2 linked regions of the Arabidopsis thaliana genome follow. The protein of the gene in region 2 interacts with the protein of the main gene of each other region in a pairwise test. Each region holds a gene or a part of one and is shown on either strand. Other genes may lie near its edges.

Region 1 (4,068 bases), on a different chromosome or scaffold from region 2:
CTATTTAATCACATGCATGTATTAATACTATACGTAAGACGAAATTTGGGAAACGATAGGGATAAGGATAATACTAGTTCACAGTTGAAAGGTACGTACAATATTTGCAATCAAAAATAATTAAATGGCATGGTAGAAAGAGTAAGTTTAAAGAAATAAAAACAAATATGGTAGAAAGAGTAATTTAAACAATTAAAATCCTTCAATTATAAATTTGTATTTTATTGTTTAGGTTACGGTATAAAGTAAAATACAATGAATAATTTTTTTTTAATAGATTATTAGTTTATGAAATATTTGTAACTTACATCTAAAATACTAAATCCAAATTTGATCTCACTTGTAAGTTTTTTTCTTTCTTCCGAATGTTAATTTGTAAGTTGTTGCCATTGTTTTTGTTCTTCATTAATCTTGAAACTGTTAAAATCAAGATATCTCACAATTCCAATTCTCGATAGAGCAAACGGATCAGACCTTTTCCATAAATATTACATGTAAAGTAGTGAAAAAGATGTATGTACTCACTACTCATAAATCATCATACGTATAACCCTTTTCATAGACATACGAGAATTATACGTATAAGAATTGAGAAAGGCTGCAAATTCTTCTGTGTATTCCCACTATACTGGTACCATCACCTTTTTCCATAAAAACCACTATTTGTTAATTTTTGTCAATAAAAACCCTAGAATTATTCCACCTAACCTAATAATAACAAGTTAGGAACCCCTGTTTGATATACAAACTAATTCCCATTAGTTTCAGGAATCAGGACTACCACAAAACAGTTAAGAAGTTATAAGTACTTCGTCTTACATTACAAATCTTATTTACACATGTAAGTTTTTCCATCTAAGAAACTAATAATACCACAAACCGTAATATAACGTCCATTTGGTCACATTCTACACATTACACAACAGACATCATCAGCAGTCCAATGCGACGGTAAAAACCTTTTAAAAGTAACGGCGGTTACATATATATTACAGACTTTATTTAACTTTTTTTAAACTTATTTTTTTTCTTTTACTCATACGACGCAATGACATCATCAAGCATCCACATATCCACCTCGGAAACGGACTCATCAAGCTGACTCGGTTGCTCCGCCGTGTTACCGTCCAGCTCAAGGAACGATTCCAAGCTCGATATCTGCTGTTTCAGATCATAATCCGGCTCAAATCCGTAACTCAGGTTCTGAAACTCGTCCCCATTTCCAAATCCTATACACTCCACCGGGAAACTCGGCTGACTTAACTCGCTCTCACTCTGAGAGACAACGCAGACCTTCTTCGCCGGAGGCTGATCGGTTGATCGTGGCGATGACGGCGGAGGAGTATAATTAGGAGGAGGAGGATGGTGCAGATCTGGGAAGTTGAGCTTGGCTTTATCACCACGGATCTGCTTGGCCGCAACATCATAAGCCATGGCAGCTTCCTCCGCCGTGTTGAACGTACCAAGCCAAACTCTAACACCTTTTCGTGGATCTCGAATCTCAGCCGCCCATTTTCCCCATGGACGCTTACGTATCCCTCTATAAACATTCTTCCTCTTCCTCCGTTTCCCCGGCTCTGTTGCCTGCTCCTTCTTCACTGCCTCCTCTTTCACGTTAACTTCAAAATTTTCACCGGATTCCCCAAAGTTCAAAATTTACAATTTTAACCCCACACAGATAATTAAATAATCCTGATAAATTACATTACCAAAACCACAAATATTTTTTTTTTATCATCTTCCGTAAGTTCCAGAAATATTATTTTACCTTTTTGCTAAAAAGGTTAGAAAAAACTATATGTTTGTGTTTTTGAATGATTTTGTATTTTTGTTTATGATTAATAGGAGAGTACATACCTTGGTTGGTGGGATGGAGTTTGGAGGTGGAATAGAAACCCCAGAAGTCGTCGGCGGCGGAAGCATCGAGCTCTGACCAGAGTTCCTCAGCCGTGAGTTTACGGCCCTTGGCCTTGGTGACGAGAGGGGCATAATCGGAAATAATAGCACCGCCACACATTTTCTCTGTTTGTTGCTGTGGGTTTCTTTCAAGAGAAAGTTTCCTACGGTGGAGCTGAAATGCCTTTATAGGCGCAAAATAAATGTTTTATGGTAATAAAGTGTGAGTGAAATGAATTACTTTATATTAGAATAATAATTCTAATAGTTTTATGTTCCTTGATACATGACGGTTACAACAAATTGAAGGCTAATCCACATAACGACAAAATTGTAAGCCTTTTTTTGGCTCTCTGAATACAAAACGTATCACAATGTGATTAGTTTAGTTTTCGGTATTGAAGTGTTGTGTCCACGAGCGTCTGGTAATTTAATAGTATGCGTTATGCGTCTCACGTCCATCACGCAGGCAGCGTCTCAAAGTAAGGTTCATCTTTGCGAGTTACGATGCGAAATTTACGGTCATCTTTGGCATTTCATATGACATCGATGATCAAACATTTCATGATAAACTCAAAAAAAATTAGTGTGTAAGAAAATCAACAACATATAAATGCACCATCCAAAAAAATACACTCATGACCCACTTACTACAAGAAGCTGCCGCATTATAGACGAACCAATAAATCTCAGAAAAAAAATACACACACGCATGGTCCATGGATGAGAGAGGAAACGGTATTGAGCAAAGCAATGTGAAGGATTATAGATATTTGAGGGTTTTTTGTTTTTTTTCTTTGAGTAGTATCCGTATATATGAAGGATCAACCAGCCATTTTGGTTAGGCGGTGAACAGTACTTCTAGCGATTCTATTCCCGGGATCAATCTTTAGAACCATCCTTAGGTCTTCAGCTCCGAGTTTGTATTTCTCCATGCTCTCGTATAACAGTGCTCGTTGAACCAGAATGGTCACATTCTTCTTGTCGTGATCAAGTACCTGCAATCACGTTTTCAAAGTGAACAAAAAACATCTGTGAAGCATAACTGACAATCAGAACAAGTTTCGAAGATGTTGGTTTTGTTCTGAGTCTACAAGAAACCATCTATGGAGCATAACAACCAATCAACTAGCTACGATGACGCGATCCCAAGAACTGTTTAGTTGTGGTATATTTTCCTACAAAGCAAGACACTAAAACTTTCTATACGTGCACAGTATTTCTAACTCGTAATCTATCTTAAGATTCCATAAGAACCTAAATCTCATATTGTCAAGTTTCATATACCTGAAAACTCTTATCAGTATCAATTTCATCAAGAGTCCTTAAACTGATTCCAATACAACTAGAGACTTCGTAAACTAAGGATCTGAGATGAGAATGATATGAACCATGGTCCATGATGCATCCAAAGAAAAATGTGCCTTTCTTAACATACCTTTGTGCAGTCGGCTACAGCTTTCTTATACTCTCCAACTTCTTTGTAACACGAAGCCCTTGTTGAAAGAACCTCGGCTGATCCAGCTTCATCACCAGCTCTATCCATAAGAATCACAGCCCAAGAGAGCCACTTTATGGCATCAGCATACTGACCTTGTCTCTGGTTATCAATGCCCTTGTTCTTAGCTGATGTAGCTGATACACCCGGTGGAGGCGGTGGCAAACCATCAAGCTCGGTGGTGGAACCAGCCCCACCGTCAAAACTTTCAAATCCCCAATCTTCGGTCTGTGGCGTAGGTGGTGCAGCTGAGGGTTTGGAATTAGAGAACATTCCTAATGGATCATCGTTTGCACTCGAAGATTGTGGACCACTTGGTTGCACACCAAAATCAACGTTTGAAGCATTGAAGCTACCTCCTGATGAGAATGTGTTTGATTTCGAAGCCTGGAAACCCCCAAAGTCGTTGATTTGAGTAGTTGTTCCCGTAGAACCGCCACTGTTAAGGTTCGACACTCCTTGAAAATTCCCAAAAGTATCATTCTGTGCATTGTTGTTAACCTTTCCTGGTTTGCTTCCTGATGATTTTGATCCGAAACCAACCAAAGAACCAAATGGATCACTATTCGAAGGAAGACCAGACCCATTTAGATTGCCCCCAGCCATATTTTTCATTGAAGGACCTCCAAGATTAGCATTAAAACCACCGGAGCTCGTGTAACCACCAGAAAAAC
Region 2 (3,902 bases):
TTGATTTTGCGTTATGATAAATATATTTGAGATATCTTAATTAGTTCGATGAAACCTTGGGTATCTGAAAAATCTTCGATTTTGTAAAGAAAATTATGTTTCTGTATCGAATAAAATTAATTTTTCATTTAAAATGAAAGATTTTTTAAAAAAATAAGGCCAAATAAGCATTGTGTGAAGAAGACAAATTAGTACAAATTACTTTTTCTTACCTGTTGCAATGTTTGCAGGGACACATTCATTAATTGGAAATACCTAATTAACGTTAGACTTCACTTATTCGATTGAACCAACATTTTTTCTTTTTAAAAATCCATTTTCAATAATAAAATGACACGTGTCGATCTTACATCTCAACTGCGATGTTTGACATGGGTCCACATGCGCACAGAGCACGCACTCTTTGCATTGCAATTGCACGTGAGATGTCCGTACTATGACGGTCCATCTTACATAATTTTCCTATTCAATTAATTAAGCTATATATATATGTGTGTTTTACAAAATTTAGTATATAATATTATTGTAAGTTATAGAGCTGTAGATGAGTACGTATTATTCTTATTTCAATCTTTTTATGAGATTTATAGATATCAAAGTTTTGCCGAAATGTTTGATTAATTACGAGCTCGAGGATGAACAAAAAAATTTGGTAAAGAGTTTCTCACAAACCATTTCAGTTAAAGCACCAAAACCAAATGATTAAGTAGTCATGGTCCACATGTAATATGTTACACACAATAAAATTATTTTATAAATTGACACGAATTTACGTCTTGGATTCTACAATCCAATGTTATGTAACTATACGTACCACAACACGTCGGTCACATGAAGTTCAATGAGTTAAAGTTTTTGACACCCTTAATGTTTAGATAATGTATATATGTTCTTCTTTTTGTTGTCAAATAGTAGTTTTTTACCGTACTGTAATTTACTCGTTTAAAGTTTATTGTTTTTTCTTTTTGTCTTTTCTTTTCGATATGTAACTTGATATTTTATAGTGGACTCCAAAACGTTATAGAAATATTGTAAAGATAATAATAGTTCTAATTTTGATGCTTCATACGGCGATAAATTCAACGGCTGGTTAGTTGATAGTTTTCTAAACTATTAATTTATTATCCTAAATATATATATTATTTTTTTGGACAGCGAAATTGATTGAATTATTGACAAAAAGATATATGTATAAGAAATTAAATAACGAAAATACCACCTCTACCCTCATTCATGATTTGTCTCATGCTCCAGGTGTCCGTTGCTCAACGGTTAATTCTGGTACTTTGGGCGGTGATTTTGATGTATTAAAAAGAAGTCGAGAACCAACGACAAAAGTTTCAATTATTCTTATTATTATTATCTTTAAGATTCTTTAGCAGTAAAAGTTAGCATTAATACAAAACTATTATTATCAGTGTTACTGTAATATTGTTGAAAGCCATCATTTGACCAAAATTAATTAAACGCGTTGTTTTCATCAGAGAATAAAATTTGAAGATTTTAAAAATCAAAACTTTTCACAAAATAGGATACCCAATACCGAAGATTCTTTCCTTTTCCATATTAAAAATGTCTAAAAATAGTTATTGGTTAATTATACAGAATCATTAATTTACAATTAAACCCATACACATAAATATATAAATAAAATATTGCAAAACAGCTGTAACTTGACTGTTTCGGAAAATCCCACTTCACATGCTTCATCTCTCAACACCTTCTTTCTGATATTCACTTTATACTCTCTTTATTTTCTTATTAAATCTAGTATGCTCTAAACCCTTTTTGCTAACTCTATAAAATCCCCTCACAAATCCTTAATTCACCTCTTCCCCTTCGCTCTCGAATCAATCACTCTCTCTTCTTTAGCGTTTTTATTTTGTCTTCCTCGTTTTCTTCTACCTTTTTATATTTTCTCTCTTTTCAGTTTTCTCTAGAAAAAAACACTAGTAATCAGTTTGCGTTTGATAAATATTTGATGTGGCAAAACTCTTGTGGATCTTGATGTTCAAACATTCATGTCTCCGGTGATTAGTGAAATCCTTAGATCTGGTTTAACTATAGACTCGTCTCTTAGACGCAGGACCCATCTTGTTCAATCTTTCTCCGTCGTCTTTCTCTACTGGTTCTATGTTTTCTCATAAATCAGCTCTCCTTTAGCCCTTTATTATTATATATTCTATAACCATAATAATATATTAAAACTATATACTATAATCTTTTTACATAATAAACTTTGGGTCCTGCGTCTTAATCATAGTACTTAATTTTCTCTGTGTGTTTTAATATGAATAATAAAACTGAAATGGGATCTTCCACAAGTGGAAATTGCTCGTCGGTTTCAACCACTGGTTTAGCTAACTCCGGTTCAGAATCTGATCTCCGGCAACGTGATCTAATCGACGAGCGGAAGAGAAAGAGGAAACAGTCGAACAGAGAATCTGCGAGGAGGTCGAGGATGAGGAAGCAGAAGCATTTGGATGATCTCACTGCTCAGGTGACTCATCTACGTAAAGAAAACGCTCAGATCGTCGCCGGAATCGCCGTCACGACGCAGCACTACGTCACTATCGAGGCGGAGAACGACATTCTCAGAGCTCAGGTTCTTGAACTTAACCACCGTCTCCAATCTCTTAACGAGATCGTTGATTTCGTCGAATCTTCTTCTTCAGGATTCGGTATGGAGACCGGTCAGGGATTATTCGACGGTGGATTATTCGACGGCGTGATGAATCCTATGAATCTAGGGTTTTATAATCAACCAATCATGGCTTCTGCTTCTACTGCTGGTGATGTTTTCAACTGTTAGAAAACTTCACATCATTATCATCGTGAGTGAGACTAATCATCGCAGCAGGGGTAAAACTGTAATTTTTCTTATAAATTATGTGATGATGCTTTGTTTCTTTATTTTATAAGATGGTTAATTAGTGTTTAAAACTGATTGTAATGATAGACAGTGTAAGAAATGTGTGATATCATGGAGATGGTGATGTGAGTTTGGTACAAATATTTTAAGATCTTTTCTTTCTATATATTAAAAGTGAAGAAATAATATTTTGTCATTTTCTTAGAGTTTTCTGTTTCCTTATTTGGGAGTTATTGTTGCTCTTATTAGAAAGATGAAATTTTGGCTATTAGTGAAATAAATGAAAATAATGTGAAAGCTCGTGGACGGTTTTTGTAGATGGCGGTGGTCCATTTAAAATACTATATAGAAATGGTGTGTTGTGATTATTGTGTTAGAGACTATATTTTCCCGATGTGATAAAATAATTATGCATTTTGGTACTTACATCAAAATGAGTTGTTATCATGGGTCACTCGAGTTTTTTTCTTTTTTAAGAATTTTATACCATCTCCATCGAAGTATCTGATTGAGATACTCATCAAATAAATAATAATTAAAAAGAAAAAAAACAAGAGAGAAAGAAAGAAAAGTGGCGAACCGTTTCTGGCAAAAGAGACGATTCTTAGCATTTATTGAGAGTTGTCATTCAACTAATGGTTTATTTACTTTAAACTAATTAAAATATATTAATTTAATTAAAATACTAATTTATTTATTTTTTGAGATATTCTCTACCACTTTTGTCGATGAAGATGCTCTTACGTACGAGGCCATATGATCTCGTTATTCTCAATCATTTCGTTTCTTTGATCCTTTAAATATCTGAATGCCAATTCTTTGATCTCAAATCCCGATCATTCACAAATTCACTTAATATTTCATGAAGTGGTTAAGGGAAATCATATCATTGCTAAACCAGTTCATTATTATGTGTTGTGCCATTTGGATCTGAAATTTTCATAACATACGTTCTTTTTTTTTTTTTTTTTATCGATGAATCTCAAACTAAGGTCAACACTAATATTAATTTTCTTAAAACAAAGTCTAC

Evidence for each region.
Region 1: the proteins of bZIP44 (region 2) and EBP interact in a two-hybrid assay, tested with the Arabidopsis thaliana proteins (one large-scale study listed by BioGRID).

What each region holds. Positions count from the first base shown.
Region 1 is NC_003074.8:5,703,733-5,707,800, reverse strand, and holds EBP (ethylene-responsive element binding protein), read right to left. Parts: upstream 2,261-4,068; 5' UTR 2,018-2,260; coding exon 1,858-2,017; intron 1,620-1,857; coding exon 1,033-1,619; 3' UTR 717-1,032; downstream 1-716. Other genes in the region: AT3G16760 (Tetratricopeptide repeat (TPR)-like superfamily protein), read right to left, coding at 2,721-2,894, 3,335-4,068.
Region 2 is NC_003070.9:28,289,934-28,293,835, forward strand, and holds bZIP44 (basic leucine-zipper 44), read left to right. Parts: upstream 1-1,764; 5' UTR 1,765-2,290; coding exon 2,291-2,812; 3' UTR 2,813-3,075; downstream 3,076-3,902. UniProt on the Arabidopsis thaliana protein: Transcription factor that binds to the DNA G-box motif 5'-CACGTG-3' of MAN7 promoter. Involved in the positive regulation of seed germination through MAN7 gene activation.